7 linked regions of the Nothobranchius furzeri genome follow. The protein of the gene in region 6 binds, or shares a complex with, the protein of the main gene of each other region. Links are inferred from orthologs where the notes say so. Each region holds a gene or a part of one and is shown on either strand. Other genes may lie near its edges. The genes, in order: ppih, lsm3, lsm6, lsm5, snrpd2, prpf8 and snrpg.

What was found.
Region 1: prpf8 (region 6) and ppih share a complex: the UniProt entries of both Homo sapiens proteins name them as parts of the U4/U6-U5 tri-snRNP complex. The link is inferred for Nothobranchius furzeri from reciprocal best matches to the Homo sapiens genes PRPF8 and PPIH.
Region 2: prpf8 (region 6) and lsm3 share a complex: the UniProt entries of both Homo sapiens proteins name them as parts of the U4/U6-U5 tri-snRNP complex. The link is inferred for Nothobranchius furzeri from reciprocal best matches to the Homo sapiens genes PRPF8 and LSM3.
Region 3: prpf8 (region 6) and lsm6 share a complex: the UniProt entries of both Homo sapiens proteins name them as parts of the U4/U6-U5 tri-snRNP complex. The link is inferred for Nothobranchius furzeri from reciprocal best matches to the Homo sapiens genes PRPF8 and LSM6.
Region 4: prpf8 (region 6) and lsm5 share a complex: the UniProt entries of both Homo sapiens proteins name them as parts of the U4/U6-U5 tri-snRNP complex. The link is inferred for Nothobranchius furzeri from reciprocal best matches to the Homo sapiens genes PRPF8 and LSM5.
Region 5: prpf8 (region 6) and snrpd2 share a complex: the UniProt entries of both Homo sapiens proteins name them as parts of the U4/U6-U5 tri-snRNP complex. The link is inferred for Nothobranchius furzeri from reciprocal best matches to the Homo sapiens genes PRPF8 and SNRPD2.
Region 7: prpf8 (region 6) and snrpg share a complex: the UniProt entries of both Homo sapiens proteins name them as parts of the U4/U6-U5 tri-snRNP complex. The link is inferred for Nothobranchius furzeri from reciprocal best matches to the Homo sapiens genes PRPF8 and SNRPG.

What each region holds. Positions count from the first base shown.
Region 1 is NC_091755.1:32,545,010-32,549,170, forward strand, and holds the start of ppih (peptidyl-prolyl cis-trans isomerase H), read right to left. Parts: upstream 2,850-4,161; 5' UTR 2,733-2,849; coding exon 2,667-2,732; intron 1-2,666. Other genes in the region: zgc:154075 (putative oxidoreductase YteT), read left to right, coding at 3,979-3,992. UniProt on the Homo sapiens protein: PPIase that catalyzes the cis-trans isomerization of proline imidic peptide bonds in oligopeptides and may therefore assist protein folding. Participates in pre-mRNA splicing.
Region 2 is NC_091743.1:73,197,519-73,201,755, forward strand, and holds the start of lsm3 (U6 snRNA-associated Sm-like protein LSm3), read right to left. Parts: upstream 2,847-4,237; 5' UTR 2,781-2,846; coding exon 2,760-2,780; intron 1,559-2,759; coding exon 1,448-1,558; intron 1,002-1,447; coding exon 906-1,001; intron 558-905; coding exon 477-557; 3' UTR 1-476. UniProt on the Homo sapiens protein: Plays a role in pre-mRNA splicing as component of the U4/U6-U5 tri-snRNP complex that is involved in spliceosome assembly, and as component of the precatalytic spliceosome (spliceosome B complex).
Region 3 is NC_091744.1:10,586,802-10,591,221, forward strand, and holds the start of lsm6 (U6 snRNA-associated Sm-like protein LSm6), read right to left. Parts: upstream 2,903-4,420; 5' UTR 2,814-2,902; exon of another isoform or gene 2,773-2,813; intron 2,753-2,772; exon of another isoform or gene 2,648-2,752; intron 2,403-2,647; 5' UTR 2,391-2,402; coding exon 2,297-2,390; intron 1,484-2,296; coding exon 1,370-1,483; intron 1,006-1,369; exon of another isoform or gene 891-1,005; intron 1-890. UniProt on the Homo sapiens protein: Plays a role in pre-mRNA splicing as component of the U4/U6-U5 tri-snRNP complex that is involved in spliceosome assembly, and as component of the precatalytic spliceosome (spliceosome B complex).
Region 4 is NC_091747.1:62,679,378-62,683,239, forward strand, and holds lsm5 (U6 snRNA-associated Sm-like protein LSm5), read left to right. Parts: upstream 1-1,538; 5' UTR 1,539-1,616; coding exon 1,617-1,662; intron 1,663-2,713; coding exon 2,714-2,809; intron 2,810-2,896; coding exon 2,897-2,924; intron 2,925-2,995; coding exon 2,996-3,068; intron 3,069-3,145; coding exon 3,146-3,178; 3' UTR 3,179-3,322; downstream 3,323-3,862. Other genes in the region: late secretory pathway protein AVL9 homolog, read right to left, coding at 888-974. UniProt on the Homo sapiens protein: Plays a role in pre-mRNA splicing as component of the U4/U6-U5 tri-snRNP complex that is involved in spliceosome assembly, and as component of the precatalytic spliceosome (spliceosome B complex).
Region 5 is NC_091753.1:27,245,706-27,249,929, reverse strand, and holds the start of snrpd2 (small nuclear ribonucleoprotein Sm D2), read right to left. Parts: upstream 2,857-4,224; 5' UTR 2,721-2,856; coding exon 2,719-2,720; intron 1,749-2,718; coding exon 1,569-1,748; intron 1-1,568. UniProt on the Homo sapiens protein: Plays a role in pre-mRNA splicing as a core component of the spliceosomal U1, U2, U4 and U5 small nuclear ribonucleoproteins (snRNPs), the building blocks of the spliceosome.
Region 6 is NC_091753.1:37,707,698-37,711,905, reverse strand, and holds the start of prpf8 (pre-mRNA-processing-splicing factor 8), read left to right. Parts: upstream 1-1,300; 5' UTR 1,301-1,478; intron 1,479-1,993; 5' UTR 1,994-2,005; coding exon 2,006-2,159; intron 2,160-2,377; coding exon 2,378-2,546; intron 2,547-2,640; coding exon 2,641-2,805; intron 2,806-2,925; coding exon 2,926-3,144; intron 3,145-3,233; coding exon 3,234-3,446; intron 3,447-3,583; coding exon 3,584-3,709; intron 3,710-3,852; coding exon 3,853-3,958; intron 3,959-4,208. UniProt on the Homo sapiens protein: Plays a role in pre-mRNA splicing as core component of precatalytic, catalytic and postcatalytic spliceosomal complexes, both of the predominant U2-type spliceosome and the minor U12-type spliceosome.
Region 7 is NC_091755.1:44,518,820-44,521,387, reverse strand, and holds the end of snrpg (small nuclear ribonucleoprotein G), read right to left. Parts: intron 1,664-2,568; coding exon 1,539-1,663; intron 752-1,538; coding exon 701-751; 3' UTR 597-700; downstream 1-596. UniProt on the Homo sapiens protein: Plays a role in pre-mRNA splicing as a core component of the spliceosomal U1, U2, U4 and U5 small nuclear ribonucleoproteins (snRNPs), the building blocks of the spliceosome.

The sequences.
Region 1 (4,161 bases), on a different chromosome or scaffold from region 6:
CATTTTGATGCCAAAAAAGCGCTTATTTTCAAACAGCGGCAAAAGCTGTTTCAGGTTTTGTGTGGAAAAATACATATAGGACTACAAACGTTCGTCCCACTAAATTGATATAATTGACCCAGACAGAGAAGAGGGGGAGATCAGTTTAGCAAAGAATCCTTCTTCCAGGACCAAAGAAGGAGCATTAAACGAAACGTGAAAACCACCATAAATCTGGCTATCTGATAAGTAGCAGCTACGCTGGGGAGAAAAGATTTTGTCGGGACGTCATATATGCGACTTCTGATTTGTAGTCATTTTATTTACGAATTTTTACAAGCAAACAAAGCTGAAATTACATGACATAATTGTGATTCAGGGCGTAAGGCAAAGCGGGTTATTTTTTCTTTGCTCCAGGGACCCATGAGCTGACTGGAAGGGGAGGAGACTTGGGTTCTTATTATCAAGTTTTACATCCTGCTGTTCCAGCGGGTCGCACTGGCTCATGAGCTCCTGTGGTTTCACAGACTTTGTTTAGATCATCCACTCAACGTCATTAGTTTCGCAGCAAAAGAATTATTCAAACTACGTCCACACGAATGAACTGTTCGGTCCTTTATTGTCAACGACGTAATTAACAGTGTCCATCTCTTTTTTTCCATTTGGGGCTCTCATTTTTCTACTTTTACCTGAAGCAGGAGGCTACAGATACACAAACATGAGCGGTTAGCAGCACATCCGCCTGGCTGCTACTGAGCTGTGGGTCTCTACTCTTCATACCGAAGTTCTATCTTCCCACTCTCACATGTCCATCGAGGAAAAGTTGTTTTGAAATATTTATTGCCATCGTTTCATTGCCCAGCCCTACCTTCAGTCCTTCTGGACAAATCCTTATAGCAGAAATCCACTATGATTAACAATGAATAATGAGAAGTGTTCTAACAGATTGAAGGTGAAACATCTACATATGTTTGAGATTCTGCTGCAAGTTAAATTTTGTTTGGCCAAGTAGGGTGGAGTCACCTGGTCTGAACGAGGCTGAAGGTAAGGCTGCTACAGAACATATAACAAATTGTTTCTAATTATGGCTTTCTGCTCTGGGTTCAGATCAGTTACAGCCATTTGTGTAAGTTTCCCAGTGACAAGCAGCTACATGTTGTAGCTTTAGAAGTGAAACATCCTCTTCAAATTAAACTAAATCAGATGCCGTTTCCTGATTAGGTTTGTACTGAAGAGCATTTGATGACTTCAGCTGCAGTGAAGCAAAGAGAGGGGAAATGTCCACATGAAGTCATTGTAATAAAAAACTTTACCGATTCCATAATCATATCCTGCAACACGACTTCAACAGAGTTAAAGCTACATTTCAAACCCAATCATATTCAGAACCATTTTTTCCCTGTATGTTTACAGGGGAGCTGGTGTCCATCTCCAGCAGTCACCGAGCGAAAGGCAGGGGTTCTCACTCCATGCAGAAATACACAACCAGTCTCACACAGAAGCAAGTTATGGGCCATTCCCATCTGTACCGGGTCGGCCCGGGCCGGGTAGGGTAGGTTGTTTACATATCTGGGTGGCCTGGTATTTTTCCGGGCCAACCAAGGCTCATTCTCAGCCCTCTTCTCGAGGGGGTTTGCTTCAGGCCGACCAGGGCCAACACACCCACTGCTGACAGCAAATTCACACCTTCCATTAGAGCAAGCCTCTGATTGGTGGGTAGAATCAGCCCACATGGGCTTAAGGCAAGGATGTGTGGAATCAACCGGGCCAGGCTGGGGCCGACCGGGGCTACCCGGCCCGGGCCGACCTGGTACAAATGGGAATGGCCCACTAGAGCCCCCAATGAACCGAACATGCATGGTTTTGGTCCATCAAAGGAAACAGGAGTGCCCAGGAAAAGCCGACGCAGAAATAGCGAGAACATGCTCTACACATAAAGGCCACAGCTGGAATTCAAACCAGCAGCCTTCTTTCTGAAAGTCAACAGGACAACCTACTGCATCGCCGCCCTAATGCTACGTTTAACAGAGAAAAAATAGTGAAAACATGTCTTTGCCCTGAAATTCTGCAAAATTTTGCACACATTTTTAACGGTTTTGTGATTTTTCATTATTGAAAATAACTCACATTAGTTTGAAATTATTAATACGATTATTTCAAACTTTGCTTTATAATCAGTGGTCAGGGGTACTTTGTAAGTATATGAGAAGTATCCATTTGCATGCAGTGTCTGCTATGTTGAATGAACATGTTCAGCATCGACACAGATCTGCTGTTTTGTTAATGTCCTGGTGCATGCTTTAAAAAGCAGGTGAGCCAACCAAGTTCTTACTGGTGGCACTTGCACACGCAGAGCCACTTTCTCAAACCTATAAAATCTTCTTGGTGTTGATTGTCGAATGTTGAAATGGAAGATAAAAAGAACCTCAATCTCGTTTTTATTCAAGTTAAACGTTTTCTCTGCGCCTTTCAAAGCACATAAATATCCACTACTTAAACAAAACGTTAAACGTAGCACTGATTTACTATTATAAGAAACAAATAAACTAAACATAATACCTAAAATTCTGCTTACTCTCCCATAAACTTAATCAAAAGGCGACTTTGCGTTGAGATGAGTAACTGAGCGCGGTGACGTTGACAGCACGTTTTCGGTAAAATAAAAAGAACTTTTGGGTTCCACTGACCTGCCCTCCGATGGTAATGTCAAAGAACACGATGGGGTTGTTTGGGTTTGTCGCTTGAACAGACATCGATATGTTTTGACCGCTTTTGCACAGATTTCAAATTACAAATCGGCAAAAAAAATTACATACTAGCCATTTGAAAATAGAGAGCATGCGCAGAAGAAACTTATGGTGGCTCGCGAGAGACAAGGTACGAATTGCAACTAGGGACAAAAACCTAGACATGCATTGTATATATTTCTTCTTTAGACCCTGGCTAATGTTGGTGTAAATCTTTTGTTTCCCATAGCTATGTTATTACTAGGATTTCACATAACTTAAATCCAACCTTTTCCTGATGTTTAGCAGTTCAAAAATGCAAATTTAAAATGTTTCAAATTTTATTTAAAGGTCAGCTGGAAATAAATAACTAAATATTAAAATACAGTCTCAGTGAATAGTAAAAACAGAATTAAGTTGAGCAAAATAAAATGCAATGTACGTCTTGACTCCACTGTCCTCTTTAGAAGAAGAGAGCACAGGAGAACCCAGGAGAACACGAATGAACACTCTAGAATGATTTTACCAGAGCGCCACCTTGTGCTGCATATTTTTTCACTAAATAAAAATAGTCAAATATTGAAAACACGACTTGGGAAATTCGCAAGAAATAGAAATAGGTCAATTTTGGATGTGTTGGACAAGTAAAAAAACCCAGTATTTTCCAACATAAAAACACTTGAAATATCTTATTATACACTGAAAGATGAGTAATGTATAGTTCCTAGTGGCTAAATTATGCTCAGAAAATTATAATTTTCTCCAACTCATTATAATAGAGATTTACTAATATAAATGCTTCAAACATGTTTTGTATGATGTATGGCAAAACTTCAAGTTCAGTATTTGAATCTAGATCTATAAATGTATAAATTACTTATCTTTACTTCATAGACTTGAAAACTATTTATTTTTGCAGGGCAGGGTATGCCATCAGAGTAATATTTTAAATAGATTTTCAAAATAACATCTCCGACTTGTTCTTTTGATTAATTATTTCATATTTCTTTTCATGGTTCGTTTTCAAAATGTCAAAAAATGTTAACAGGTTAATATAAAGATTTGTGTGCGCGCGCGTGCTCGTGTATTTTTTATTTATTTTTCAAAACAAATCCATGACTAGATGGCAAAAAGTCGTAATTTACGAGGTACAATGAATGTGGCACAGAACCTTGTGTACCGTCTGTAGGAGGAGTCGTGTGTGCTTCACTATCCGAAAAAGCCACACAAAAGTAGACCAACACGGAGGAAAGACAGCTGTTCTAATACTCGTATGGGACAAAGCAGGTAACAGTACAACTGGTGTTATAAAATGAATTATGTTATTTACCCGAATTGCCGAAACATCTGTTAGGATTTACCCTTTTCCGTGTTTATTTCGCCAAGACTCTGGTCTGCTCCTTTTTGTTTTCCCGGTACACATAATTCATGAGCTATAAAGAAGTTGTGTGTTTCC
Region 2 (4,237 bases), on a different chromosome or scaffold from region 6:
AAACAAAATTTTCAAACCTGAGCATGACTAAATCATAAAACACTAACGTCATGTAAAAGAAAAAGAATGTTCTGGGACTCAAATGCAATCATTTAGCTAAAAATCAACATAAAAGTTGAGCAATTTAACAAACATTTCGCTCACAAGGGGACCCGAGTCTTTATAAACACTGGAATGACTCAATCGGAACTGATAAGATTCAGAAAAATGTTTTTCTACTAAAAATAATAGTATCTACTGAGGCCGATTCTTACAATCCCAGAATGTGTCAAAAAATAAAAAAAAGTGTCCTCACATCATACTTCCTGGGTTTTTCCCCCCTCAGACATTTTGCCCTAGAGAAGAGCCTCTGATTCACATGAAATTTAAAGATGAAATAACAGTCTAGCATAAGGAAAATGAAGATTTATAACACTCTCCTACAAAAATGGACACTTCCCAGAAGCAGTTACATCATCCTGTCAGGCATGGGGGGCTTAGCCGACTCGGAGAGGCGGAGCTACGAGGACAACGCCGTCTCCTCTGACAAACAACATGGGGATGTTCCTCTTGGTAGACTAAAGAAACAAATACAGTAAAAACATTTAAATAACAGATATTTTATTTAAATACTCACTAAAGTACCGTCAAATTTAAATAAAACTTGAGTTTCTGATCATGAACAATAATGAAACCTCGTAGAATCTTAAAATTCTGTTTTATTACTTTCTGCAGATCTATTCAGCGTTATGTTAAAGTGACAAGTTAACATCGTTTAACGTTTCTGCATCTGATGGATCTTTAAGCATCACCCAACAGTGGCACAAGTTTGCCACTAAGCAAACACAGCAAAGAGTCCAAAACAAAAGCTGTTCAGTAGAAATGTGGCTAGAGAGGTTTTTCTATGTTTGTTCATAAAAACTGACCTTATAAAGTTCTTCATACGTCTCCTCATCAATCTCCACTGTTGTCACCGTCTCCTCCACATCCCCCAGGATCATATTTAAGTGTTGGTCATACGCCTGGACCAGATGGCAAACATTAGTTAGGACATACAGGTGAAACTGGACAAAAGAGAATATGGTGCAAAAGTCCATTTATGACAGTAATCAAGCTCAGATGGAGAGACCATCTACAGGCTCAGGAACCCTCTGCAGGTGTTCTGGATTCATCAGCTGATAAAAGTCTGACACTAGAATATTTACCTGAACACAATATTCTAATTGTCTGAGATTATGAATGTGGGGTTTTCATCAGCTGAATGCCATAATCATCACAAATAAAGGCTGAAATATCTGGGTTTGCGTGGAATGAGTCTGTCTCATAGATTAGTTTCACCTTTTAAGTTGTTTTACTGACATTAGAATTTTCAGTCTTATTTTTTTTACCTGTTTTATCAGCAAGTATTGTGAAAAAACTGGATCTTCTGAACCGTGTGTGTGTGTGTGTGTGTGTGTGTGTGTCGTACATGTAGTCGACCGCGGAGCTCCCGGTCATTCCTCATCTTCACGTAGATCCGCTCATCCAGACTGAGCCTGATCAAATCGAGAGGCTCCTCCACCGTGTTGGTAGGTGGTTGCTGTGGAACACATTAAAATAATCATCAATGTACGGATTCCATTTTTTATTGGCATATTCATCAAATAGCAAACATTTAAAAACAAAACTAGTCGGTTTTTTTACACTCACCGGAAATGTTTTTAAAAATCTAGATTAAAAATATCCAATAGGGATGGACAATATATCGGCATCAATATCGGTATCGGCCGATGTTAGTCATTTTTAAACATATCGGTATTGGTCCCATAAATAAAACCGGGCCGATATTAATTTTTCTATCTCGTCTCCATTTGTTTATCAGTTTCAGAGGGTGAGGGGGGTGATGTGTATTTGTTTAATCATGTGACAGTGATTGTAATCACCTCAGAAGCGTAAATGTGTGTGTTGTGTGTACACAATAATGTAAATCCAGCTTTAATAATTTTCATTCTATATAAAATCTGCAGATTTTGGAAGCATTAATGTCAGTGTATATCGGTATCGGCAAATATCGGTTATCGGCCATAACAGTGATCTTAATATCGGATATCAGTATCGGTCCAAAAATTTATATCGATGCATCACTAATATCCAAACATTGTTTAGCTGAGTCTTTATATTGTTATTTATTCATTTTTGTTGTGTCTGTACAGCTTTGTTAAGGCTTGCCTTTAAAGACCAGGGCTTAGAAAACAAACCATCTGATAGGAAATGTAAAGAGAGTGTGCAGAAGTACTGATCAAACCAATTAAACGTCTCATGACTTATTAACACTATGGTATCTTTGTCACTAATATCTTTATTTTCAATTAAATTGCACATTACAGCTTAGAAATATTCATTTTAAATCATAAACTTTGATCCAAACAGTTTGTTGAGACTCGTTACTTACTAAAGTTAATAACTAAACACAATAGTTAAAGAAAACTCAATATTAATTATTTGTCCAATTTGCTAGACAAACATAACGGGAAAAGTCATTCATTAATCTTTCATTTGTGAGAATCTGGTAACTTTTACGCGCTTACTGATAATTTTAGGATGAGCTGAACGCTAGGTGAATGTGGGCTAACCGGTTTCACAGGCCTAAACACAATTAAACCGTGTTAGCAATTAGCAAAATGCTACGCTTGTATCCTTAGATTAAAGAAATGCATAAAGTTAATAATGCGCGACGAAGTCAAGCAACTGCACAGACGCTAAAACGAACAAAAGTGTATAAACACGGCAACCAAACGAACCTGCTCCACTTCATCCGCCATGATGCTTTAACTGGCCTAGTGCCTCAATGGGCTCTGAGGTCGCAGTCATATATACGTAGACGCCCCGTGGACGGCTGCCGTAGTGGCCGACCGCCATCTTAGTTGGGTCTCCATTCGCCCCCACTGCATTAATTTCTACTTAGGAAGGTGCTTAGCCAACTAAAAAACGCATTTTATCAAGCTTTTTCACAAAAGCTGATACAATATATGGCATGATAATTAAAATATAAATATAATTTAACAAAATAAATTAAAATATATTTAAATATAGAATTCCATGAGGTAGGCTTGTAAAGTTACTAGTAATCCCGCTTGATCTGTTTTCAAATTGTACGCCGGTTGTTGTAACTGTAGGCTGCACATAAACGGGCATAGACCTACAGGTCTCCCATTAGATGTTTAGAGTATCTTGATCTTGATGCTGTGAGGGTCGCTAGAACGGGCTATTTTGCTGACATCATTGATACAAACTGTAACAATTCAAAAATTCTCCATAAAACGCTTAACTCTGTCTCAGTGTACCAGGACTCTGGCATCATTTTTTCTACTGCTGCTGGAGAATGTGATGACTTTCACAACTTTTTCACTAGCAAAGTCTCTGCCATTAGAGCTGCTATTTTTGGTTCATCTACAGACCCTGATCCAGTTACTCCAATACAGTCCACCCTGAGCTATTTTAATACTCTCTTATTCTGAGTTGTCTAAGCTTGTCTCAGGGCAGAAGTCGTCTAGCTCTCCACTCGATGTTTTGCCACCTCGTCTGTGGAAGGAGGCCTTTCCGTGTTTGGGTCAGTCTCTGCGTCTGATCATTAACGGCAGCCTGAGCACTGGAGTGGTTCCAACTGCATTAAAAGCTGCAGTCAGTAAACCGATCCTGAAGAAACCAGAATCTGATGTCTCTGTGCAGACAATTACAGGCCAATCTCTATTCTCCTTTTCAATTTGAAACTTCTGGAGAAGGTTGTGTGTCAGCAGCTTTGCTGAGAGACTGGGTAGGCATATCAGGATCTGCTCTGAAGTGGTTCTCCTCTTATCTGTCTGAGGGTTAGGGTTAGGGTTAGGTGCTTCTCTGTGGCCGTCTCCAAGTTTGGGTCCTCCACCACCTCCCTCGCCCATGGTGTCCCACAAGGTTCTGTGCTGGGCGCTCTACTCTTCCTCCTCTATCTGCTCCCTCTTCAGCACATCCTGAGCTCCTTCAAAGAAATCTCCAACCATCTTATGCAGATGACATCCAACTGTACATCTCCTTTAAGCCCCATGAGATGTCGAAGTTGCAAGAACTTGGCAGTGCATTTCAGAATCACTTGTTTTTCTCCACTGATTTATTGCTTTTAACCATTCATTAGAAAATGTGTGCAGGTGCAGTTTGGGACACATGATTTATTTATTTATTTATTTTTATCCAAACCCTTATGTATGACTCATTGTCTGGTGACAGGACAGGAGCATGGAAACTG
Region 3 (4,420 bases), on a different chromosome or scaffold from region 6:
AGTTACTTTTTTGACAAAGTAATCAGTAACTATAACTAATTACTTTTTTAAAGTAACGTTCCCAACACTGGTCATGAGATTTGAAGCGTTGCTGCCTTTCACAGACACTTTTTCTGCACGTGCTGCAAACAGGATAGCCGTCTTCTATAAACTGTCCCTCGGCATTCTTCAAATATTCAAAAAATGCCCGTACTTCCCACTTTGTTTTCTTTGAGGTATAATAAATGTCCTGCGCGCTGCCGTTTCCTCCTTTGGCCATTATTTCAGCTTTAGCTTCAAGAAAGTTTTGGTTGTAAACAACAAAGTGCGCATGTGCCGCTGGCAACTTCAACAGATGATACGGTGGCTGGTAAGGGTCACCGCGCCTACACCGCAGCCACGGTAAACCACCGAGATAATATAGTTTTTTTAAAAACGGACGGTTATTATTATTGTCAACTTTTTTTTATTTTACCGGGGTTTACTGCTACACCGGTTACCGTGACAACCCTACCTGATCGGTCTGCTTTGATCCATTTTGAAAACTCCGATCAAAACCGATAGGGGCGCTATCGGCCAGTTGGGATCAAATGCCGATCCATCGGTGCATCCCTAGTAGTCAGTCGCAGCTGTATCTGCTCAGTCTAGAGAGGCACCACAAAAATCACACAGGTATCAAAATATTCCCTAACCCTACTTATTAACCCTATTAATGTAGAAGTTTACACTTCCAAAATATTCTATTTAATATTTAAATTCAAACAGCATATTATATTTAAAAATCACCCAAAATTAGTATCACTTTGAGGCAACACAAATCAGTTTCTGCCATCAGAAGCTAAATCAGTACATTTCTAATGTAACATAATGAATTAATTAACAAACGATGCTGTAAAATAGTAGCATTTTACCAGTTTTTTCAAAGCAGCAACAAAGGGGCTCGATGTTTTCATCGGAAGTGAGCTTCCTGTATAACTCCGACATGGTTAGTTTCCCAACTTTAAAAGGGAATATCTTGTGGTTTTCCTATAAAGATAGGTTTGAGGTGCAAAAATGCTTAATGAGAAAATGAAAATAAACATCTTGTGGTGCATGACTTTGAAAGTTTCATTTAAAAATTGTCAACAAATTTAAATCTCTAATCACTTTGGATTGAAAAAAAAAACCTAAACAACTGAAAGATCTATTAGAGCACACAGTGTAATAATGTTGTCTCTGTGAGCTAATAAGAATGAGGCTAGGAAGTTGACTGCACCAAAGACTCAGATCATGGCAAATGTACAGCCTTCATAACCTGGAATGTTTAATCATTAAATATGACTTGGAGCTATAGTAACAGAGGAAAACGGTGTTGTATAACGCCCTGCAGCGTGAAAACATCAAATCTTACCATTATTTCCTCTCAAAAAGGCATCTCCATACTTGTTTTTGAGTTGTCCATTGACATACTCCTCCGTCTGCTCTATTGCGATGTTCATGTAACCATCCAGACAGGCCAAAACACCTGCTCAGAGACAAACACAAACTTCAGATTAAAAATAAACTTACCTGGGCAATAAAACAACAACAGACCTGAACGTGCCAGCTAGGGAAGAGGGGCATACTGTTTTTTATGCATTTTGATGCAAACATAAACCATTACAAATTCATTCAAAAATTATCAAAACAGATTTTAATAATGATCATTATTTAGGTGAGTGTAAAAGGCAGACATCTGAAGTGCAGAAGTGTGGCACATTATGGTGTGCAACTGGGATGGAGTTTGAGTCTTGACTGAAGAAATAAATACATCAAATACTGAAAAACTGAACATTTTAAACTGTAACAAAGATGTCTGAGTAGGAGTGTTGTGTCAAAAAGTGTTCCTCCTCCATGTATCTGTGTAACCTGTGTGAATCTCTCTTTAGCTTGGTAAATGAATTAATATCAACACAAACACAAATAGTTTGTTGAAGATTAAAGCAAAATTTGGTCCTCACGAAACTTTTCAAGTTTATTCCAATTACTCAGCATTTAACTGGAGTTTAACTGCAGTAATTTAACTGTTTTTCAGTTAGTGTTTGTTTCATAGTTTCTAATCCTATATGGGATTACATCATTCAACTTCCTGTCTGCCTGTATAAAGAACTTAACTGTAATGAATTAAAAGATCATTAAAAATTAAAAGTAGTTGTCAGGGGGTCATTGTCTAGAACTAAACATGAGGCAGAAGGCGTAAAAAGATGCATCAATGACTGCTTAACAAACCCTCTGATTCATAACCTAATCAAACTCTGAGAACCCTAAACATTCCCACACCTGATGCCAGCTGCATTACCTCTGTAATCAACACCAGAGTTCAGTTTGACCACGACAGGTCTCCCAATTATCTGCTTCAGAAAGTCACTCGGGGTCTGCTTTCTCAAACTCATTTTCGCTTTTATCTAAAAGAATAAAACAGATGAGTAAATCTCATTTTATCACAATAAAGAACCGCATTAGCATTACCCTAATACACATTTAAGCTATAATTGATTATCTAGTAACAAAGGCATTATTCAAACCCGAGAATATTAAAACGAATAGCTGTAGCCAGATAGTACACGCCTAAATGCAAAACTATGTACGGTTAAAACGTTCAAATTATCAAATGAGCTTCTATGTAGCTAGCGAGCTAAGTGCTAACTACCAGCTATTCCGTGGGTCAGTTCGTTAGCCTCTAATAGCGTAGGAGATTGTTTAACAATAAAGTACAATGTACAGGTATTGTTACATCATAACAGATCCTAATAAGATAGGAAATAGATGTTTTACTAGTTTTACAGATGCGAACACCGAGCTAGCAAGTTACTCACTGGATGAACGATCTCACAACGATTTTATGTTCGGCGCATTGACCAATCACATTGGAGGACTACGGAAACTATGTAGGGACAAATGTCCTGAAAGCGCAAAGTTTTAATTCGATAGACAAAACAAGAATATTTAAAAGTACATTTTAAAAATACGATATACCCATTTCCTTTAACAAGTTATTTTCTATAAATGTATTTCTAATATGTTGTAATTAATATTATATCCACTGGCTTTCATATTATAATATACTAAAGTTTTTTTGTTTTGTTGTGCATTGTTATACTTTGAATAAACTGAAGCATTAGTAATATTTCTATTATGTAACAAATTCATACAGAAAATGAGAAACTACTGTAAATATGTAAAAACATAATATTTCATGTGAATGTCTCATTGTATTATTTTACTATTCTTTTTACAAATTCAAAATTTATCTCAATGTAATGTGGGATATGCACAAATAAGCCTATTCCAATTTCAGGTACATTTTCTTTCTTCTTGATCTGTAAGTGTTCAAACGTTTAAAAGAAAGAAAGAAAGAAAGAAAGAAAGAAAGAAAGAAAGAAAGAAAGAAAGAAAGAAAGAAAGAAAGAAAACAATCTTTTCTGTAGCTCCTCTCAAGACAAAAATCTCAAGGCACTTCACAAAAATATAAAATATAAAAAAGGTTTCAAAAAATGATTTAAAATATGTTCAAAATAAGCAAAAATAGACAATTGTGATTAAAAAGGCAAAGAGAGAGAGAGAAAGAAAGAGAGAGAGAGAGAGAGAGAGAGAGGGAGACAGAGAGAGAGAGAGGGAGAGGGAGAGGGGGAGACAGAGAGAGAGAGAGAGAGAGAGAGAGGGAGGGAGAGGGGGAGACAGAGAGAGAGAGAGAGAGAGAGAGAGAGAGAGAGAGAGAGAGAGAGAGAGAGAGAGAGAGAGAGAGAGAGAGAGAGAGAGAGAGTGAACAGGAAAGAGGGAAATCAGTGAATCTTGGGGAAATGGGAAAATGTGCACAGTATGTACAGTCTATGATGTGCACTTAAAAAAGACATCTTTTCATTCTTATAAACACATCACTTGTAAGTCGCTTTGGACAAAAGCGTCTGCTAAATACATAAACATAAACATAAACATGTGCCTGGTGAAATATTTTCTTATTATAACAAACATTTGTTAACATCACAAAAACTATTGAACCAATGGAAAACTTTTTTGTAGTTGTGAAGAAGTCTATGAATAAAGTGTATGAAAACAAATAATTCTTTTAATTATTCTAACGAGTAACCAACTTCGGGTTTGTAAAAAATATTATAGACACACACACACACACATATATATATATATATATATATATATATAAACCTTGGATGCTGGGAGCACGACCCAAACACTGCACAGCTTGGGAGGTACATGAGAAATGGTGTATGGGGGCAAACAAGGATGAAATAGTGGGGAGAAAAACAGAAGAGCATAGAGGGCGTGAGGATGTGCCAGTACGTGTTAGTGGAGACAGAAAGGTTGAGAGAGAAAGTAAGAGAGAAACAAAAAGAGAGAGACAGAGGGGGGATTGTGAAAGGTGGAATCATAAAGTACTTCTTGTGTGTCTAGACAGGTTGCTTGT
Region 4 (3,862 bases), on a different chromosome or scaffold from region 6:
TGTATCTTTAATTGTGGGTGGCAGCTGTTTGCGAGGCCACAGATGTAAACAGATGGAGAGCAGCAACAAGGAGGATCACTGTTTCCAGATCTTAAAAGATCCATTAGAGCCGCTCAGACCAAACGCTTCAGGGACGCGTTCACTACCTAACCGTGTGTTTCCTGTTGCTTTCATCAGACAAGAAAGCAGCAAGGCACCAAGTTCATGTTAGCACGTTTACACACACCTGAGCTCTGAGTGTGTTACTCAGGTAAAAAGCATCCAGATCTGGTTTTGTGGGAGAAAAGTGGTTTGCCTGCAGGCTGAGCTAAAGGGAGGTGTGGCTGCTGTGATGTCACAAGAAAGCCTCTTTTTTATGTTTGTATGAATAAAATATTTGTTCTGAAAATATGCACTACTTTAGGACTTGGGTTTAATCATGCCACCAAATAAAAGGAAGTTTTGCTTCAGAGTCAGTTAGAAAATACCAAAATGCAAGTTACTGAAAGGAAAATAACGAATTTCACATTTTTGAGAGGAACTGAGATATTTCTGATGCAGTTTTTAAAGCTTGTAGCATCTTTGATTATTGTTGTTTCTTCCTATTCTGCCCATCACCGTTACTGAACATTAGATAATCAATTAGTATGGAGATCCAACCGGATGTGGGATCAGGTGAGCAGCTGCTGGAAACAACTGGAAAATTATCTGAGGTGGCAGCCAGAAGAGATGTTATATAACTCCGCACAAACAGCTAGAAATCAAAGACGGTTAAAATTAATATTTCCATCTGCATCAAATCCATCTCACCTGCAGTGAGCTGGACCATAACCCTCCATTCTAATGTTTTAGTAGGAATGCACCTTTATACCAGAGCTAGCCACAGTTAGCATGAAGCAGGTTCGTACCTGACAGCCTTTTTTATGGTGAAATCCAACAACCACGATGTGTAGCACCGGCCCCTTCCCTTCAGTTTCGCTGCCGTGAGACTCCATTTTCCCTCAGTCTTCTGTTCTGGAGGTCCGGTGGCGTTTGTGAACTCAGGGGGTTCGGATGTAAACACAGCGAACGGAGCCTAGTTTGAGCCCCGAATCTTTCCCACGCACACACACTCACGCGCGCGCGCACACACACACACACAGCGCTGCAGCTAGATTTCAACAAGATGTTTCCCTGTTCCTCACTTCCGTGTTTGCGTTACCGATTCTGTCAGATCCATCGGGGTCAGAGCACGGATTAGCTGTTAGCATTAGCTTTTAAATGAAAAACTGGTTCAAGTCGCATTTACACAATTTATAACAACCTGTTTCCAATGAATCTACTGACATATTTTCTTGCGAATATCTGATTTTGATCAAATCCTAAAATCAGTCAAGCATAACTTAACCAGAAACAGGAAGTAAACAAATAAACTCTCCATGCTGCAAAATCCATACTTAAGTCTTATACTCAAATATTTTTGCCTCTAAAGTGATTGTTGTTTTGGATGTTTTATTTATTATTTTTTGTGGGGGAATTTAAGTATATTTTTTTATCTATAGCATTCCAAAGTAAATCAGAGTTTGTCTATTCTTGCCTGAATTCGATTTGCTCTTGATTCGATTGGTTGTGACTGCTGCAGTCACACGAAGAAAGTCATGGCGGCTACTCAAGCGACAAACCCGTCACAATTGCTCCCTCTGGGTTCGTAAAATCTAATTTTGTTCCGTTCTTGCTTCAGATAGTTTCGCCTTTAGATACATTTCAATAAGAACCGAACAAGCAGTTCTAATTTAGTGAGTAGCAAACAGAAGTGAGCCGTTTTAGCGGTAAAATCACGCCGGTGTTACGTACAGATCTTTTCACCGAAGTAAACCGTGTCCCCGCTTCCTGACAAGATTTCTAGTCACAGGATTGTGTTCCTCCTGCTAAAATATATTATCTGTGGTGTACGGATTTAATTGTCAGTATGTGTAATTTGTGAAGTAAGCAGTTGCATGTATTTGATAAATTTAGGAACTCGTGGGGGTTATGCTTAGTTCAGCCATCTTTATTGCTTGCATTAATTTACTAATAAAAGTCAAATAAGGAACATTTTACCATTTAAAACATATTATAGCTTAAAGAAAAAGTTTTAAAGAAAACCCCCGGAGATTCTGGTTTAGATGGGGGACACATCTCGATGCAACACCAGCAGGTTTTAGCTAGCTGCAGATAAAGCAATAATTTCGTGTTCAAGCGTGAGTTTTTACCTAATTTATTTTAACAGAGGAGTATTTGTGGCAGTCTAAAAACTAAAAGAAGTGATTGTGTCCTATTTTACAGCAGTTATGACCTGAAAAAGTCAAACCAGCTCGGGTGCCTTAATGAGGATGGCGTGCTGATTGTACACCTGTCCGTGTCTGAACATGAGCAAAAGCTGAGCTGCAGCAGTCATAATAATACTCCTGAACTTATTGTGTTATTTAAATTCAAAGTAGTCACACCCGTGAACAACTTTCGTTGACAACTGACAAGAAAATTCATTTCGTCCATCGACATATATTCAGTTAGATTTAGTCATATTCTTCTGCCACCTACTGGCCAATTAGTGTATGTGCAGTACAAACCTCAACAGTATTTCCCTTAAGAAAAAATGATTTTTAGTAGTTGGTCCTGATTGGTTTTAGATGCTAAACATCACATTAGTTATTTAGAAAATTGTTAAAATCAAACTGAAAACTGTAGAAAATAACCTAACCTGTTATATTTTCAGAGCTTGTGGACAAATGTATCGGCTCTCGAATTCACATCGTCATGAAAACCGACAAAGAAATCGTCGGCACCCTGCTGGGGTTCGATGACTTTGTCAGTATCCTTCCTTAAAAGCTGCTGATCAGCTGTAGTGCGTGATTCAGAGGTGACATGTTCAGATTTGGTCCTCAACTGTGTGTTTCAGACATGGTGCTGGAGGATGTGACAGAATTGTAAGTGTACGTTGTTTTATTAACCGGTGTCTGCCTCATTCATCCTGCTCATCTCCTGGTGTTTCTTCCAGCGAGATCACACCAGAAGGACGGAGAATAACCAAACTGGATCAGATCCTCCTCAATGGAAACAACATCACCATGGTAGGACACAAACGGCTTCGGTCTCTCTCAAACATCACTCAGCTGGATGATTCATGTCGGGTTCATTTCTCCTGCAGCTCATTCCTGGAGGAGAAGGACCAGAAGTGTAAATCCTGTTTTGTGTCTTTTGTTTATTCTCTCCAGGTTTTTGGAGCATATTTTTGTAACATTCTTTGTTCAGTTTTTAGTAAAAGAAGCAGGTCTCACGTGGGAATTAAGATGTCTTTGTTGCAAATAAATCTGTTTGAAAAACATCCTTGTTTCATTTATTTATCATAAAAAGTAAATTTAGTGCAAACATTGGGACAAAATGAAGTGTTACCATCAGAAACCAGTGATAAAATCCAGCATCCAGTCTTTGTTGGACTGTAAAGCTAAATGAGAAGTTTCACTTTTGACTCATGAACAAAAAACGTGGAACCGATCTAGAGCTGAAACAACTAATCGACTTAATCGATTATAATCGATTATTAAAATAGTTAACAACTTTTTTAGTCATCGATTAGTTGTTTAATAATCATATTTTACCGCATAAAGTCTATTTTTTACCACAATCAGACATCGGTTACAAGCTGTTAAATTTGCCGCCAGTGTGTGGCAGTAATGAGCCACTGATCTACCAGTGGAGCCGTAGAAGAAGAAATGAGCCAATGGGTGCCCTCGGTTTTCATGACGTATCACGTTACTGACGCTCATCTTGCTGTGAGAGATGGCGGAACAAGAGGAAATACGGAAGAAAAATAGAAGCGACAAAACTGAAGAGAAACCCCGGACAAAAACCTCACGAGTATGGG
Region 5 (4,224 bases), about 10 Mb from region 6:
AGAATAAACACTACAGGCCTTCCATGCTTTTATTGTGTTGCGGTTGGTTATGTTCTGGTGACGTGTAGAACTTGGGAGTGCAGGCTGCTGCCTGAGAGGTGGTAGAAGATGGAGTGTCTCCATGCTGCTTTGTTTTGGTCACTTATGTGCGTGAGGCGAGTGGTCTTACGGGTTAAACCAAACTCAGGTAATATTTTACACTAAACCGAAAACCCACAACACTCTAAATGTAATAAAAGGGAGATCTACACCACAAAAAAGATGAACTCTAAACCAAAACGTAACAGCTTATCCCAATGCAAGAAGCTGTTAGCGAAGATGCTAACAGTAGCTTTACCAAAAGTTCAAGTTACCAAGTTTAAATAAACCAAAAACACCCGGCAGCAAACAGACCAGCAGGGAGGAGAGACTGCTACCACCAAAACAGCTCTCCTCATGTCTGAAAGAAGCTCCTTTATGAAGGGAGAAGCGCTCCCGGTGATTTTCTACATCTGCGATAGACATGAAGCAGCGCATCTGACCCCGGAAGTTGTTGTCCGTTGCCGGGAGACGAAGGGGAAAAACAGGAAAATAATCTAGTAGTGGACGGACATTGTTCCGGGTCTTCGGTATTTGGCGGAGATGTTAGTGAAGGCGGAGAAGAGGGCAAACTAGAGGAAAAACAGGCAGATTCCTCCTCTATTTACAAACTCCTGGGGATGCAACAAGTGGGCGCGGTGCGTCAACTTCCGGATCTGACGTCGACAAATTTTTAGAATCGAGCCGTCGACTTCGTCGAGGCTTCGCTACAGCCCTAGTTTTAGGTGCCTACCTCCATTTGACTGTTTAGCATTTGTATTAACAGGTTACTACAGGGGTGCCCAATCCTGGTCCTGGAGGGCAGGTATCCAGCAGGTTTTGTGTTTTTTCTGCTCCAACAGACATGATTCAGTGGTTGAAACACCTGTGCAGCAGCTCATCAGGCTCTGCAGAAGCCAGTTAATTAGCTGCTGATTGAAATCAGGTGTGTTGAAGCGGAGTTCAAACTAAAACATGCAGGACCAGGATTCCGGCACCCCTGGGTTACAAAGTTAACTAAAAGCTGTTTGATAAGCTATCATCGGGTATATTAGGGCACCCTGGTGCAATAAGCTATACTTTTATGCATGATGACATGATTAGTTGACTAATCGTCAACAAAACTGGTGATTAGTCTACTATTAAAATTGTCTTTTGTGGCAGCCATACCTAAATGTGATTTTAAGTTTTTTGACTCTGCCATCCAAATGCATAAATGCATGGTGGCGCAGTTGTTAGCACTGTTGCCTCGCAGCAAGAAGGTTGCAGGTTCGAAACTCGGCTGTGGCCTTTCTGCGTGGAGTTGAGTGTTCTCCCCATGCATGCATGGGTTTCCTCCAGGTACTCCGGTTTCCCCTACAGATCACAACATGCCCTACAAGTAAAAAATTGTACGTCGCTATGGATAAAAGCGTCTGCAAATAAATAAACATAAAAAGCTAAATGTAAAATTTTCTCGCATAGATGCAGAACTCTGAATGTTTTTTTTTAGATGAAAATTCTTTCAATACCTGTCAAAAGCTTTAACTCTTCCAAGCAGCTTCTTATTGTTGCGGCAGTTGATGAGGACTTGAGTGTTGTTTTTCACTGACTGGGTGAGCACCGACAGGGGGCCGGTGTTGAACTCCTCCTCCTCCCGCTTCTGGAGTTCTTCTGGTGTCATCTCTGATTTGGGCTTCGTCAACAGACTCCTACACAAAAGCAGACACGATACTAGATCATTTGCTTCTGCACAGATAACGGTCACAAGTCCTTTTAGCGGTTTGCTTTTAAAACTTACATGATTACAAGATAATAAATGAAAACAAGGCACCCTAACTAAATGCAATTCAAGAAACCTGACTTTAACCGAGATTAAAATTTAAATCTCTCAGTAGAAGAGTGGGGAAGTTCCCATAGGCATTTAACAAAACTAATAACTTATTTTAAAAAATTTACACCAAGCTACTTTTAGCAATAGCCAAATATTCAACAATATCAGACATACACGTTTAATTTACTGGTTAGCAATCAGAAGTTAAAAAAAATTGAAGAGATTAGAATGACAAGTTTTGCATTAACAATTAACTGTTTCTCTGAGTTTCTTCATAACCTTCCTTTACTCTTTTGTATCAAGCAATGGATTTCTTAGAAGATTGATTAAAAAAAACATGTGGAACATCCTTGAGACAGAACGTCGCTAACAATGATGTTCTGAATTAAAATAAGCTCATATGCTTCAAAAACATAAAGCCGACTTCGTTACTAGGCTAATATCCTGACAATTTCATTCTCCAAACGCACATTTTAGAAAGTTGGTCAAACTGTTATCTACGGGGAACACAATTTGACTCAACACCGGTCTCCTTAATCGTGCTGCTAATATTTCGCAATTGGCAAACATAAAATTTAAACAATCGTAGCATCATTAACGATCACCAACGTAACTACTACATATATTTTATTGCAGTAATTACCCTGTACATATTAGGTTAATGGTGAGTAAAATATGAAAAGCGATAGCACGTTTAGAAAGCAACACAACGTGAGCTAACTAGCATTCATCAGTGAAAAGGCTAAACATGTTAGCATTCGAGAAAAGACGCTGCGACTCGTAGCTGATACTCTATCTCAAAAAATGACACTTTCCGAAATGGCTATCTCATCATCAACGACACTTACATGATTGGTGGTTTATAAAAACTGTTTAAAGCTGTTTTTCTCTCGTTTCCACCGTCTAATTCTTATGAGCAACGCTTCTGCCTTCTTCTCGTGGACGAAAACACTTCCGGGTCATTCTCAACGCGCTCTAAACAGTTCGCTATAACTTCCGGGTTACGGAGATTCTGCTCGGTAAGTGTAATGGAAAAAAAATCATCCATAAATGTAAAAATCTTGAAACTATTATTTTCTTAGTTACTTTTTTCCTAAATTCTATCTATCTATCTATCTATCTATCTATCTATCTATCTATCTATCTATCTATCTATCTATCTATCTATCTATCTATCTATCTATCTATCTATCTATCTATCTATCTATCTATCTATCTATCTATCTATCTATCTATCTATCTATCTATCTATCTATCTATCTATCTATCTATCTATCATCATCATCATCATCTATAGTAGTTCTTCAATACAGTTCCAACACAACCAGTGCATAGAACAAGCGTGTAAAAGGTAAGCCCCTCTTTTTTCGTCATTGCTTATTCTTCATACGTCATGAAGCTGATGCCCAACTCTAGCACTCATCAGTCAAGAGGTGAGTCCTTGGATGGGTCACCAGTCTAGCACAGGGCCACATGGAGACAAACAGGGACAAACAAATATGTATTTATATTTAGAGACACAATGGAACCTAAATGTTCTTGTTGTATCCAGTGAAAACCAGTGTATGCATGGCCAGAATGCACTTTGAAGAAAGGCAACCTTGCAACCTTCTTGTTGTGGGGAAGCAGTACCATTTGTACCATGCAGCCCTATATCAAAAACTCTCTCCTCACAAAGTAAAGAGGAAATAAATAAGACTGAGGAAGCAGACCTCTCCGTAGTCTGCAGCCCAAACAGGTAAGCCTTTGTTTCGCTGTTTAACACAGCAAAGGTGTGTGTGTGTGTGTGTGTGTGTGTGTGTGTGTGTGTGTGTGTGTGTGTGTGTGTGTGTGTGTGTGTGTGTGTGTAAAGGAGAGAAACGGGTATATGTGGCAGCAACGAGACACTAAGAGATTGGCTTTCTGGCAAGAGACAGACAGACGCCTATGGGTGCTCAACCCACCCACCTTGTTCCAAAGGTTACAGATCTACCTGTGGAAATCACTTGCTGTAGATAATGGCAGGCTGTGTGTTGCTGGGAGAGGTGAATGAGTGGGATTGGTTTCCAGACTGCACGGTTCTATACCTTTACCAAGCACACTCACCCTAGACTCTTGCATCTTGAGATGCAGACTAAAATGAGCTCAGCGTTACCTTACATGGGATGGAGCTGCATTCTCTAATCTGAACACACTACAGTGGCCCAATTAAGAGAGCAACAAGCATTAAATCAGATGAGTAAGTACAAGATACAAGTCTATCAATCAAACTATTAACATTTAAATGCACAAATCTAAATGTTTATTTATTTAAAATGACAGAATATTTTGTTTATAGAAAAACAAAGTCTCTAGGATGTTGAATGTTAAGTCTT
Region 6 (4,208 bases):
ACAGTTGTATGTTATTTATCGTGATATTTATCAAATATGGTTATAAATTGAGAAAAAAATATATATATCTAATTATAAAAGAGAATTAAAATAATAAACACTCAAAAGTATCGAAAATTGGTACCGTTAAGTACTGGTATCGATTCGTAGGTACCGGGAATTAGTACCGGATCGATTCAAATGTCAAAGGTACCCATCCCTAATATAACTTAGTTCCTGTAGAAATACAATAATATAAAATTATTATCTCTATAATCACGTGTGTTATCCGCTCTGTTCATTTTCAATATAATAAGATAGTTACTGATTAAAGAATTCAATCAATAAGCTAAAATAAATAAGCACTGGGTGAAGACAATCAGGAAACCTATCTGTTGCCTGCTGAGATTCTGAAGTGAATGAGTTCCAGAAGCTGTATGTAATAGTACATCTATGACATCATAGAACTCAACCGTACCTCTTTGATGTCTGTTTGATCGTGGTAGTTCTGTTTTCCTGGTTGTCCTAATGACTATTGTTTGATCGTGGTAGTTCTGTTTTCCTGGTTGTCCTAATGACTATTGTTTGATCATGGTAGTTCTGTTTTCCTGGTTGTCCTGATTGTTCTCCTGGAAGTCGAGGTAGTTGAAGCAGACAGAATGGATGAACTGGATGCCAGAGCAGTTTTGCTCTACGGCAAGAGGGATGTGGGATATTGCTCTTGTTGTGCAATAGCCTTTATTATGTTTGTGGCATGTTAGACCACATTAATCTACGCACCAGAGTGGACAGGCAGGGAGAAAAGAGACATACAACACAAACAGGGAAAGAGAGGGAGGGGGAAATGGAGGGACAACAGTACACTAAAAATAGAAAACAGACCGCCAATACAGTGGGGTCATCATTTTAAAAAAGTAATAATAATAATAATAATAATAATAATAATAATAACACATCTACAAGAATAAATGGAATAGGAGCTGTTAAATTATATTATCCATATTTATAGTAGCATGTAACTGTGTGTGTGTGTGTGTGTGTGTGTGTGTGTGTGTGTGTGTGTGTGTGTGTGTGTGTGTGTGTGTGTGTGTGTGTGTGTGTGTGTGTGTGTGTGTGTGAGAGAGAGAGAGAGATAGGATCCTGTAAGGGTCGGTAGTGAACCGGAAATGATTACCCCAAATCATCCGGGAAATCGCTGCTTTACGCATGTCTAACGTTGGCGCAAATTATTTCACGTAACCTTCTTGAAAAGCAACAAGCAACCATACTGTTATATCTAGCGTAGGTGCTTTTGTGAATTACACCAGAGATGCGCTGATGGCTGATCGTGTGGTTACCGTCGTGGTTTGGTTTAGCTCGATGGTTTAGCTACGACCATCTCAATTTATTAACGCGGAAAAAAGCACCAGACGGCAACTAAAAAGAAGAAATGTTGTAGTTATTGTTTGTGAGTGGATCGAGGGTGATTTTGAAGTACATAAAGTGCCGTCGGAGCGAAGGTAACGTGGTGTAAGATGTTTTATACTCGTTAGTCTTTTATTGTTGGTTAACGTGCAGCCTTTAGCCGCTATGCTAACAGCGCCGAGCTTCTCCGCGCTGGGCCTGGAATTCGTTATCGAATTACTTTCACAAATTATTTGTAAAGCCGACAATGGACTCGCTGTTTTAGTCTATTTTTCTTAAAAATCTTTAATGCTTGACCTGTGCAAAAATTAGATATAATTTACGTGAAGTCTGGTGGTTTGAAAGTTTAGCGTGTTGTCGCTTAGTACGCCATTGATGAGCTAACATTGCAAACAATATGCTGTTCTCCGGTTTGTTGTGTTTTCGTTTTTCATAAGTAAAAATTACTATATTTTTGAAGTAAGCGGGCATAGTTTACTTTCAAATACAAACCCTTTAAACATTTTACGACTTAAGTTTGATTTAACGGAAAGCCAGATTGTGTTAAAGTGCGTTGTTTAACTTTAATTTAATAAGCCTGTGTGTATTGTTTTTTATCTTTTGTATTTAGCAGTGAGGCACCATGGCAGGAGTCTTTCCCTACAGAGGGGTCCTTCCTGGGATGCCACCGGGTGTGCCTCCTGTTGTACCCCCGGTTGTCCCCCCAGGTGTTCCCCTGGTTGTTCCTCCTGCACCAGTTCCAGACTACATGACGGAGGAAAAACTACAGGAAAAGGGTACCTTTTTAATTTCAGCTCAGCAAATCAAATGGTTGATGGGCTGTGCTTTGCAGATGATCATAAAATCATCTCCTAAATTCCCCCCAAATCATCGCCTTTGTCAGTGAATGTCTGTGTGAATGGATGAATGTAAAGCACTTTCGAGTCCTTCCTCTGAGAGGCGCTATAGATATTTATCATTTATAATTGAATTGTCTCCGCATCTAATCATACAGCAAGGAAATGGCAGCAGCTACAGGCCAAGCGTTATGCTGAAAAGAGAAAGTTTGGCTTTGTGGACGCCCAGAAGGAAGACATGCCTCCTGAACATGTTCGCAAAATCATTAGGGACCATGGCGACATGACCAACAGAAAGTTCCGCCACGACAAAAGAGTTTACCTAGGGTAAAAAATAATTTGTTCTTTCTTGTTGATGCAAAATGCTTTCATACTTTCAGTAATACCAATTCTATCTTGTGCATTATTTGCTGATGAACAGTGCACTCAAGTACATGCCCCACGCGGTCCTGAAGCTGCTGGAAAACATGCCAATGCCCTGGGAACAAATCCGAGACGTGCCTGTGCTCTACCACATCACGGGAGCCATTTCCTTTGTGAACGAAATCCCTTGGGTTATAGAGCCGGTCTACATTTCTCAGTGGGGGTAAGTGTTTGGCATTTCCTACTTTTCAGTTTTGAGCCAATCTTGAGTATCTTATTAGAACGTGCACATTGATGTTACTTTGGTATAATTCATTAATGGTATTCCCTTAATAAATTTCAGCACCATGTGGATCATGATGCGTCGTGAGAAGCGTGATCGACGACACTTCAAAAGGATGCGCTTCCCCCCATTCGATGATGAGGAGCCGCCGCTGGACTACGCTGATAACATCCTTGATGTGGAACCTCTGGAGGCCATCCAAATGGAGCTTGATTCAGAGGAGGACTCTCCTGTGGTGGACTGGTTCTACGAACACCAGCCCCTCAAAGACAGTTCCAAGTGGGTATTTTTCTTTCTTTTTATGTCAACACTTGCTGTATTTGGTTGTTTCACAACTTGAATAATTAAAACATTAAACTGTTTTTCAGGTTTGTGAACGGAACCACGTATCGTCGCTGGCAGTTCACGCTGCCCATGATGTCAACGCTGTATCGTCTGGCCAATCAGCTAATGACAGACCTGGTGGACTTTAACTACTTTTACCTGTTTGACCTGAAGGCCTTCTTCACTTCAAAGGCCTTAAACATGGCCATCCCAGGAGGACCAAAGTTTGAGCCGCTGGTCAGAGACATAAACCTCCAGTAAGAAGCTCCCATCTATTTATCAAGCATGCTGCCTGTGGAAAAAATATTTGTGAATCAGTATCACTTTAAACAGTCAAATAAAAACAGGTACTGAGTGTTTTCTCACTAGGCTGATGGTTACTTTTTACCTTCAGGGATGAAGACTGGAACGAGTTCAATGACATCAATAAAATCATCATCCGACAGCCAATCAGAACGGAGTACAAGATCGCTTTCCCCTACCTGTACAATAACCTGCCACACCACGTTCACCTCACGTGGTAGGAACCAAGCCAGTGATGACCTTAAGCTTAAACTGACTAATGCATTTATTTGGGATAAATCGATTAATAGAGATGAAATGACTGAATTCCCCAAAATGGAAGAACTGCCATGACCGACAAGTGATTTTTGCTTTCTGCAGGTACCACACACCGAATGTGGTGTTTATCAAGACGGAGGACCCGGATCTTCCTGCTTTCTACTTTGACCCACTGATCAACCCCATTTCTCACAGACATTCTGTCAAGGTTTGTGGTGTGGACAATCCTTACTGAGGGAGCAGAAGGGAATATTGTTTTATTTCTGATTAAGTCCTCTTACAAAGGCGCACTTGCACTGGTCCTCCTGCCTGTGCGTAAGAACAAGAGGAACATTAAAATGAATGGTGATTGTTTTCTGTCTCTGGCTGCAGCTGCAGATTTGTTCTCACCATTCAGATAACTCCTCACCTGCTATAGACTCACCTTTCATAGCTATGAATAGTAACATTGATTTTAA
Region 7 (2,568 bases), on a different chromosome or scaffold from region 6:
AAGTTACATGAGTAATCCTGAGTACTCACTTATCAACTTAGAAAATAAATGAGAACATCTCAAATGAATGAGTATGGGAAAAATGACAATCTAGTGCCCTCGTATCAGCAGATTCAAACACAAATCATCTCAATTTATGGGACCACAAAAGTAATCGGAGTACTGACTCTCCAAGTGCATCTCAAACCTGTAACATGCCAAATATTTGAGTTCCTGGAATCGAATCTGAACCTTTATCAGAGTCCCGATTCAGACTTGAATGGATTTTTTTCAGCACCTCTAACTTCTAACTAATCACACATGGCCATGGGAACAGGCTTCTACTTCAGGATATTTTCAAACAACTACTGTTACAAATATCCCGACACATCATGCAGGTGTCACTAAATAAAAAATGCTTAATTTACAACAATTCAGTGTTTTATAAACTTTTGGGAAAGCTGCACAAACTGGGTTCAGAGAAGTAGTTCCAGCAGCACCTGAACGTCTAAAACGACTCCGTTAGCTAGTTCAACTCTTCTGGTTGTAGACTGCTTCGGCACTTCAGCAGTAAAAACCAAAGGTGCTGTCATGTTACACAGAACAGAAACTCACAGTAAACAAAATCAGATTTATTCACAAAACATTCAAACAAAAGACCAGAGTGGAGGAAATAAAACAAGTTTAACATCTAAAATGGAATACAGGTGATGCTCCTCTCTCATACTCTCTCCAAGGCCTCCAACATGATGATGCTGTTTCCTCTGATCACCTAGGAAAACAAAACACAGTTATTTATTCAGTGTTTAACGTGTGTGATGCCCGACTGTAGCCAACCACACCAACAGACGTTCGGTTCTCACTGGAAGCTGAGACTAAATACTTGCAAATATGGATCCAGACACCTTTTTAGGACTGGGCTCAAAACATTTTTATTTGATTTATGTTTAGGGCCCATGGTTAAAATCTGATGTTAGCCCAGATGTGGACAAGTGGGGGAGTAGAGGGAGGTGGAGTGTGCTACTACTAGTTTACCCGTTTAATTATAGATCCACTAGGATACATACAATAAAGTTTATCTCTCACGTAATAGAATATTTACTAAGACATCACAATGTACCCATAGAAACACCACTGTGTGCGTGTGTGTGTGCGTGCATGCGTGTGTGTGCGTGCATGCGTGTGCGTGTGTGTGCGTGCATGCGTGTGTGTGTGTGTGAGTCGTGGAGGATGGCTGCTTATACTGAGCCAGGATTCTCTGGAGGATTCTTCCTGTTAAAAGGGAGTTTTCCTCTCTACTGTCGCTGCATGCTTGCTTAGTATGAGGATTGCTGTAAAGACTCTGACACTAGTCAGTGACTTGATGCGACCTGCTGGCTTCCTTATATAGGAAAGTTGTTACTGATTGGCTTAATGACCTGACCCCCCCCCCCCCCCGGTCTCAGGTATTTAGTCTACACTCTTTTCAAAGATCATGACAGACCAACATGGCTAATTTCACGGTATTTATTAACAAAAACAAAAGAAAAGAGGAGAAGGGAACATGGTCAGGTACTGACCACCATGCCGATGGTGTTTTGTTGTCCTCCTGGGGCCATCTCCAGACAGTCGTCCATTACCAGGTTCATGAAGGGGTCAAACCCTCGCAAGATGCCCTGCACGTGTCTGCCTCCATTCAGCTTCACTAAAAAACAAGTTATTAGTGCTGAAAACACACACACAACCCTAACCCTAACGTTTCAAGTGAAACTAAACTGGTTTGCTGCTAAAAATAAGAAATAAAACAACAAAATGATCAGGCTGAATAACAGACTCTTATTATGAAAGGCTCAATAATATGCATCAGATTGGTGTTTAGTTCCTTTTTCTTGTCTGATATTTATAGTTAAAGTATTTGTATATATCTGACCAACATTTCAGTAACATTTTAGGTTTGTAGTAATAACACTCATCTTAGTCAAAACAACATAAATATATGCGGTAAAATATAATGCTTTTCATTAACTTGCATTTGTGTTGGAAATGGTAATAACATGTAATTTCTGCTGCTAACAGTGTAACGGTGGCCTATCTGTTATGTACAGGTTGGCAATAATCCAGTTTAATTTATGTTCAAAGATAGAAGCATTTGTGAATTATATACTACAACAGCTTGCCGTACTTCCTGCTCCTGTGTGTGGAGCAGACTTGTAGCAGTCATGTGACTCGTATCTGCAGCGGGTCTGATAGCGTAGCGCTGCAGGATGCAGAATAAACAGGATGGTGGGGACTTGTAGAGTTTAGTCTTTCTTAGTTGTTAGTGGATGAAATCCCATCATCTCCAACTCAACCTCTCTAAAACTGAACCACTTGTCATCCCAGCAAAACCATCCATGCAGCACAATATCTCAATCCAGAATGACTTCCTATCTCTGGCTCCTTCAAAGGCAGTTGGAAATCTGGGTGTTGTGATTGATGAACACCTGAGCTTTAAAGATCACGTTGCCTCTGCTGCTCGTTCATGCCGCTTTGCGCTGTATAACATACGAAAGATCAGACCATACCTAACACAACATGCCACCCAGCTCCTGGTGCAATCTACTGTCATCT